Macaca mulatta: one gene and its partner. Each later gene encodes a partner of the first gene's protein in a complex. Links are inferred from orthologs where the notes say so. Each region holds a gene or a part of one and is shown in the gene's direction. Other genes may lie near its edges.

The links.
Region 2: the proteins of ABCC9 (region 1) and KCNJ8 are in contact, whole or in part, in a cryo-EM structure (PDB 7MIT), measured with the Rattus norvegicus proteins. The link is inferred for Macaca mulatta from reciprocal best matches to the Homo sapiens genes ABCC9 and KCNJ8. Residues at the interface, in XP_038963045.1 of Rattus norvegicus: Phe5, Ile10, Tyr13, Asn14, Ile15, Val19, Asn22, Cys24, Phe25, Ala28, Leu29, Val32, Val35, Phe36, Phe39, Phe42, Pro43, Ile44, Phe46, Ile47, Gly48, Trp49, Gly50, Ser51, Lys55, Gln57, Ile58, Asn129, Phe130, Lys132; in NP_058795.3 of Rattus norvegicus: Met1, Leu2, Lys5, Ile7, Ile8, Pro9, Glu11, Tyr12, Val13, Leu14, Ala15, Arg16, Ile17, Ala19, Glu20, Asn21, Leu22, Leu45, Ala46, His47, Lys48, Asn49, Gly54, Arg55, Phe56, Leu57, Asp59, Ile60, Thr62, Thr63.

Annotation. Positions count from the first base shown.
Region 1 is NC_133416.1:24,365,264-24,369,080, reverse strand, and holds part of ABCC9 (ATP-binding cassette sub-family C member 9), read left to right. Parts: intron 1-2,376; 5' UTR 2,377-2,396; coding exon 2,397-2,538; intron 2,539-3,817. UniProt on the Homo sapiens protein: Subunit of ATP-sensitive potassium channels (KATP). Can form cardiac and smooth muscle-type KATP channels with KCNJ11. KCNJ11 forms the channel pore while ABCC9 is required for activation and regulation.
Region 2 is NC_133416.1:24,205,440-24,209,717, reverse strand, and holds the start of KCNJ8 (ATP-sensitive inward rectifier potassium channel 8), read left to right. Parts: upstream 1-1,162; 5' UTR 1,163-1,284; intron 1,285-1,289; exon of another isoform or gene 1,290-1,603; 5' UTR 1,604-1,741; intron 1,742-2,610; 5' UTR 2,611-2,680; coding exon 2,681-3,054; intron 3,055-4,278. UniProt on the Homo sapiens protein: Inward rectifier potassium channels are characterized by a greater tendency to allow potassium to flow into the cell rather than out of it.

The DNA of each region.
Region 1 (3,817 bases):
ATCGACCTCAATGATACTAGTTTATAAATGTGGCCAACTGGAATATTACAATTTTGGATAATGTTATAAAAGTTGCTAAAGTAAACATTATTTTCTAGTTTGTGCAAGGAAAGTTTATATATGTCTTTCAACTAAGAGTAGGCTTTAAGTTTCCTTTTTATCATTTCTACTAAATAAAGGAAGTAGTCTAAAAAATTTCATTACTAGCTATTAGTTTTTAGTTTTGTTTTTGTCTGTCTTTGCCAGAAATATACCTAACATACACCTATAAATTCATAACTTCCATTTTGCTGTTGTTTAAAAACTTCAAGTCCCTTTTATTCTTTTATCCAGATTAAAACCTTAATAGCTTGTAAGAATTTACCAAGTGTATAACTTAACCTTAAGGTTTTAAAAATACAACTTTTTTTAAAAAAAAGATGGAGGACAGACTCAACTAGGGAGCATATCAGTTATTTATTATAAAAAGAGCTTATCAGGAACAACATGTGAGAGGCATTCTGTATAAGTATTTAAGATTGTAAATACACAGACTCTTTAGCTGAGGTATTCATATAATGCTTTATAAAACCTTTGCTTGAAATTTGATTTCTCTAATAATTTACCTACCATTGACAACCTTTTCTGTATAACACTCTGTTTTTCCTAGGAAAAGTATTGTTTGTGACCATTGCTAAATCAATTATCAATGAAAGGAAAGAAAGAAAAGGTACTATGCTAGTTAAGAAAATTTTTGGCCGGGCGCGGTGGCTCAAGCCTGTAATCCCAGCACTTTGGGAGGCCGAGACGGGCGGATCACAAGGTCAGGAGATCGAGACCATCCTCGCTAACACGGTGAAACCCCGTCTCTACTAAAAAATGCAAAAAAACTAGCCGGGCGGGTTGGAGGGCGCCTGTAGTCCCAGCTACTCGGGAGGCTGAGGTAGGAGAATGGCGTAAACCTGGGAGGCGGAGCTTGCAGTGAGCTGAGATCCGGCCACTGCACCCCAGCCTGGGCCACAGAGCAAGACTCCGTCTCAAAAAAAAAAAAAAAAAAAAAAAAAAAAAAAAAGAAAATTTTTGCCAACTTTTAGTAATGCAACTCAGAATACAGTGCGACATAAATATAGAAAGGAAACGAGGTCTAGTGAGGTTAAAATCTTAAATTGCTTCTTGGCTTAAAGAATAGATACGATACTTTCTTTAAAAAGCAGGTTGGAGGTTGTGTAATACAGTGGAAAGAAATAGTTTATAAGTCAGACATTTGGGTGTGGGCTTGGCTGCTCTACTGGTTGGCAAGTTACTGAACTTATCTGGACCTTAGTATCCTCCACTGTAAAAGATGAATAACACCACTAGTGTTACAAGGTTGTTCTGAGGATTTAAGATATGCAAAGTGCCCAGAATTTAAATAAGTAGTAGGTATTATAAAATAAGTTTTCAGAATGTTAAAGCTTTTCCTGGAATCTCACAGCAGTATTTTGATGGAGCAGACCTTTGCTCATCTCCCATCTGTTTTGGCACAGCAATAATAGAGAACCATTTAACATGTAAGTGAGAGCATGTCACTCCTTTGCCCCAAAATCCCCAGTGGCCCACTTCACTAAGAGTAGAAGCCACAATCCTGACAATGACTTACAAAGCACGGTGTGACCTTGTCCTCTGTTTCTGCTCTAAACTCATCTACTTCTACTTATGGAGTACCAATTTCCAATTAAAAGATATTCTACGTTTCAAACTTGAGTAGAGTGTATTTCATGTGAGAATATTCTAACTATAGAATCTGAGTAGTTTCATTGACTTGTCATTTGAGTTAGGTTTAATTCATCTTGAGCATTTGATTTTTAGTATTCTTCAGGGAAAGACCGATTACTCTTAGCCATTACTGCAGGCACACTGTTCTCTGTATATTAGTATTTCCCACAACTAGTGAAATGTTTCAGGAAACTCTGTCACAGTTTACTGAACAACTTTAGTTGTTTATTAGTACATTTTCAGTGAGTATGGGAAAATATTTGAAATTATATCATTTTGACTTTTTAGTCATTGGTTCAATTTTTTTCCTTCTTTTTCTTCATATAGACCATTTTTGTTCTTTGAAAGCATTTTAGTCAGACACTCATTTGAGGTATTACTATAGGTGGATATTAATTATAAACATTTTCCACATGAAAGCATATTTCTCTGGAAGTAAAATCTATAGAAAAGAAGATCTCATAGGACGTATAAGGCCTTTATAAGAAACCTTCAAGTTGCTTTGGCACAGTTTCTTATTTCCTCAGCTATCAAAATAAAAGGGATTGATTGTATGATATGGCCTCCTATTCAAGGCTATAATTTTATGAACATGAGTTTACTAATAAGCGGATTTTTCTTTCTCATTTCTCTCCCTTTTAGAGTAAACCATATAAGAAGAAATGAGCCTTTCATTTTGTGGTAACAACATTTCTTCATATAATATTAATGATGGTGTATTACAAAATTCCTGCTTTGTGGATGCCCTCAACCTGGTCCCACATGTCTTTCTGTTGTTTATCACTTTTCCAATATTGTTTATTGGTAAGTAATCTAATGTCCTATGTTATACCACGTGATGTTTATATATCTCACTAATGGCTGAGATTTGGGATAATGTTGACTTAATTTCTCTAACATGGAAGCTGATGGCTGTGAGAAATGAACAAGCAAGTATTTTGTGTTTTTCAAACATAAATTTTTGACAGGTGATCTTCCATAGGTGAAATTGAGGTCACATGCTTGCTTAGGAATGGCCTTCAGGTAGCAGCAGCAGTTTTTTAAAAAGAAGGAGAGAGAAATATATGAGATAGATCTACAGCATTTGTTGAGCACTTACTTTGGGTTAGGTCAAGGGAATGGAAAATGAATAAAAGAGTACTTGCCTTCAGGGAATAGTCCAGTGGGGCAGATGTGTTAAAGTCATGAGAAATGACTATGCCACATTGTAAGTCTGTTTACAAGTACAGGAACAAATTAACCTGCTGAAACAACTCACTCTTTGGAGGTGATGGGGAAGATAGTGAGTGACACGTTTGGGGAATTGGAAGATGCCAAGCATGCAAGTTACAGTGGCAGTGATGAGGTTGTGTTTTATGTAGAAAGAGGACATTCACAAAGTATTTGGAAAGAAGTTAATAATACAGTTTTGTCTTATTTTACAGTTTACATATGTACAAAATCTGATAATTAAGGGCAATTATGAATAATTTGTATAACTTACCCAAACAGACCCTTTAACTTTTTAAAAATTATGAAGTATTTTGATACATAAAATGATGGAGATTAATAGAATAAAAATCCTTTGAGCCTACCAATGCTCACCTAAAGAATATAGAAGTAAGAATGAAAGGGCCTGTCTCTGCACACCATTTTCTGGTCTTGTTACTCTTTCCATATCCTATGTTCCTATCTTTTCACAGAGGCAACCACTATTTTGAGTTAATTGTGCTTAATTTTTTCATGCATGATATTTTAAGTGAAAAAGTTTTCAGATGCATTTTCTTAAGAAAACTAGCAAATTTTAATGATCTGCTTTAAGGGAATGTTTGAAAATCATTCATATGCTTTTATTTATTCATTTAACAAATATCAATGGAGAGGATACTACGTGCTTGGCATTATTCTAAGAGGGATTAAATAACTCATCATATGATATATACACAGGACAACATAACTCTTGGTACATAGTTACATTAAACAAATGTACAGATGCTAAATATATTGAGACCAGAGTGGCCATATGTAGAAACATCAGTTGTTGTTTATGTAGTATTATTTGTAGGTCATGAAGAATGCCCTTTGTCCAAAAGTAGAAAAATGG
Region 2 (4,278 bases), about 160 kb from region 1:
AGCCACCGGGCCTGGCCTTTCCTTTCCTATTCTAATCACATCCCTGCTTATATTAGAGTATATCTCTCTTGCTAAAACTGTCTGCCTCTTAAAAGCAACAACTATGACATATATTTACATATCTCTAGACACATAAACCTAACAAAAGTTTACAAAGGTGTGCAATAAATGTTCCCCGGGCTAAAATAATGAATAATAATGTGTACAAAGTCAAAAATAAAATAGAACAATGGCGGGAATTGACTGATTCTTCATACAGTTGTAAAACTATTATACTACATAAATTACTGCAAAAATTAATGACCGTAGAGAGGAGGACTACCACTAACAAACTAGGATCCTGGGCTTACAGGGGTTAAGGAGATCTAACCACAAGGGGAAAAAAATATTCTTAATTTGTCTTCATTAAAGACTAATTTTAGGTCTTTGGGTAATTAAATGAATACATTGTTTATGCTACATACACTTTCGGCCCGAGTCTTGGAAAATACGTGAAACTTCCAAGAATTAAAGTTTCCATTAACGCAAGTGCCAAAATCAGGAGGCTTGACCTGTGGGAAAAAGCACATTTGTCTTCGCTGGCTCCTTTTCAAAAAGCTATAGATGGTTATTGTATAACCTTTTTTTGTACGCAAATGCTCTGTTTTATCATGCAGACCATCTAGACAGAGGAAGAAGCTGCAACATTTCAGAAAGCAACCAATTACTGAAGACCGAATGACCAGGCCTTATCAGCGCTGAAGTGTTAACGGCGGTCCCTGTTTGGGGCAAAATTTCTTCATCGGGAACCACTGCCAGTGGTTTCTTTTTTCTTTTTTTTTTTTTAAGGGGTAGGGCGGGGGGCGGGGGGGGCGCAGTCGCTGTTTTGAGGAGTGTGTGTGTGTGTGTGTGTGTGTGTGTGTGTGTGTGTGTGTGTAATTCCCTGAAGAGTGGCTTTGGCTGGTGAAGAAATAGTTTACTACAGTGGGTTTCAGAACATCTTCCACCTGCATCTCTCCTAGCAGGTGGAAATTTAATGTAAATAATTGCGTGTGCCCACAGCTTGAACGCCTTGGAAGAATATTTTCTGACTTCTCTGCTTTGATTCAGTCAGAAGTAGCCCAGTTATCATGAAGAAGCCCAGTTATCTACCTAGGTTACAAAATAAAATTAAAATTAAATCTCCTTGCGTCAGTGAACTTGGACTCAGAAAGTTCTCTCCCCTGAGCAGAGAGCCTTTTAAAGACTTGTGTGTCACGCTGGCAGCAGGGGGTCGCGGCTACTGGAAAGGAGCTGGCTCTGCAGGTCCCGCCCTCCCCCGGGTCGTCCCTCCCTCTGGCCTGCTCCCTACCTCCCGGGGACTCGCGCTCGCCCCCTCCCCGCCCGCCCCCTACTCCGCGACAGCGGCGGCTTCCGAGGTCTGGCGTGCGTCAAAGCCCTAACTGGGAGGCTGATTTGTGGAGCATCCCCCCCGGCCCCCCCAGTCCCTCCTCCTCCCACTGAAGTGGCCAAAGGAGTTGAGCTGAGCAGGGGGAGGGGAAGATCGACACCCATCCCCCTTCCTCTAGCCCTCCCTGCGTTTAGATTCAGTTGCACCTTTTATTATTTTAACTCTTCTCCATAGGACACGCAGCCCCCAATCTGTCCCTCCGGCCTGGGCGGCCCCTGGTCCCGCGCGCCAGGATGGGAGAGCGAGGGACCTGCCCGCGGCCCGCCGGCGTGTGCAAGGAGGTCCAGCCGCCGCGCCCGCTGCCCGGAGTCTGTAAGTTTCAAAGCTGCTCCGGGGGAGGGGAGGGGGAGGCTGTCTGCGTTCCCATAAATGATTTAAAATGCAAAACACCGGAGAGGCTTGCAGTGTTGGATGGACTTTTCGGGGTGCACTCCCTACTGCAACCCGCAGGCTGTTGTCTGGGGTTTTTTTTTCTCCCCCCGCACCTTGTATATTTGATTCCTTCGTTGTTTAAAAAAAAAAAAAAGTTTTCAATTTTTCAATTTATAATATTATGATTTCCATAGGAACCTTTTTAACTGTTTTTTTAGATGCAACTCATTCTTTCGCATTTAAAATAATTCTTATAATTTATAAATTCTATAGCACATCACTTATAATTTTGTCAGATTACACGTTATTTATACTGCGCAAGGAGTCACGGCCTTTGCTTACTTCTAAAAATAACGGAGGAAGAATTTCCCCTCTTTACTTTTAATATTGCTACATCATCTAAGTACTTTAATAAGTAAGTAGATCGTGCACCCAACTGGTCTTAATCTTCTTGATTGACGCCACGTGCTGTAGCCTTGCACTAATTTACAGACGCGGTTCATCGCAGAGAATTATCTTTGAGCCTGCTGTTTACCGGAAGGCTCTTGGTTTTGTTTAGCTAAGGCTATGCCCATATGTGTTCAGAATGATAAGAAGAATTGGAACAGTTCTTTTTATTAAAACCAAGTAATTTTTCTGAGATCCCAGAACTCAAGCACAAGCTAGATTCATGTTTGGGTTAGTGAAAAATCACAGTTTTGGTTTTGCATGTCACCTCGCGCATGTACAAACCTGTCCTTGAATACAAGGACCAAGAGGTGAGCATAGGGTGGGTTTTTAAGTTTTTAATGAATGTTTCCCTCGTGCAGGAGGACGGGTGTCCAGGGACGGAGAGGCAGGTGAGAGGCAGGTGGCTAAGCTGGCTATGGTGACAGGACGATGTTGGCCAGAAAGAGTATCATCCCGGAGGAGTATGTGCTGGCGCGCATCGCCGCGGAGAACCTGCGCAAGCCGCGCATCCGAGACCGCCTCCCCAAAGCCCGCTTCATCGCCAAGAGCGGGGCCTGCAACCTGGCGCACAAGAACATCCGTGAGCAAGGACGCTTTCTGCAGGACATCTTCACCACCTTGGTGGACCTGAAATGGCGCCACACGCTGGTCATCTTTACCATGTCCTTCCTCTGCAGCTGGCTGCTCTTCGCTATCATGTGGTGGCTGGTGGCCTTTGCCCATGGGGATATCTATGCTTACATGGAGAAAAGTGGAATGGAGAAAAGTAGTTTGGAGTCCACTGTGTGTGTGACTAATGTCAGGTAAGAATGTAGTGGGATGAGGCAGGGGTTGAAAACAGTAGAGAAAAAAATGTCAAAATGCCTTTTCTCTTATCATTCTGTTATTTAATTGAAAGTGAAATAAAGGGTTTGTTTTAGAATCTCCAGAAACAAAAAAGCACAATAAAGAACAAAACCTAACACAGTAAATATTTTTTTAAATGCAACTTTATGGATGAAGAGTCTCTGAAAATCTGAGCTTCAGTCCTTTGGACTAGCCTTGAAAATGTTGTACCAGTTATCAAAAAAAAAAAAAAAAATTGTAATTCAGAGGATAACACAGAGTGCTTTACTCCAAAAGCACGCACATTTAGTTCAGTATGAAAAAGCTGCTGTCCGTACTTTCAGTGTCCACAGGTAAATATCTCTGATCAATAAAAAAAATATTGTGCTAGTGGACATTTTTCTATGACTCTTCTAACCCATGACACTTTCAGAAATAATAAGAAAAAAAAATAGGGAGGCCCTAGGGGGAGAGTGTCCTAGATTAAAAATCTACTAAAAAATGAAATAAATATCATCCCTTCTTTATCGAGATTATCATAACATAGCTAAGTGCTTGCATAAGATTCAGAAATTAAAAGTTGTGCTAAGATTCAGAACTAGAAATTGCTAATTTTTTAATGAAAATTAGTCCAAAATTTTATGGAAGGGGTTATATAAAAGCAATTTAATTTTGTACTCTTCCTTTCAAAGTTTAAATAGAATAGGGACAAGACAGTTCTTAGATACCTAACTTTGGCTTCTTTCTCATATCATAAGTATCTCAAAGGCAGGTAAATTGAATTTGATTTCAGTGATTCTCCTCTCTTACTTTCACATGGTTTAAGAACATTTAGTTGAGGTGATTTGTTTCTTAATTTTTTTTTGTTGTTGGGAGGTGGAAAGAGATAAATTATATCAATTACCAAGATGTTCACTGTGAATCAAAACAGTAGTAATAATACTAGAAAATTTTTCAAAACATTTTTAAAAGAACATTTTAAATTCACATAGTTCACAAAGCAAGGAAACTTGAAAAAGCATTACGATACCAGGAAACTGTAAAGGATGGGACCTCCAGTGACTCTGAATCTTATGAAGCTAGCATATCACTGCAGAAAGTGGACCCCAGACTGAACTTGTCCACCTTTCCATTTGCTAAGTAACTACAATGCCAGCCTTTCAAGGAGGAAGGCAGCATTAGTGTGCGGAGATCACACACCA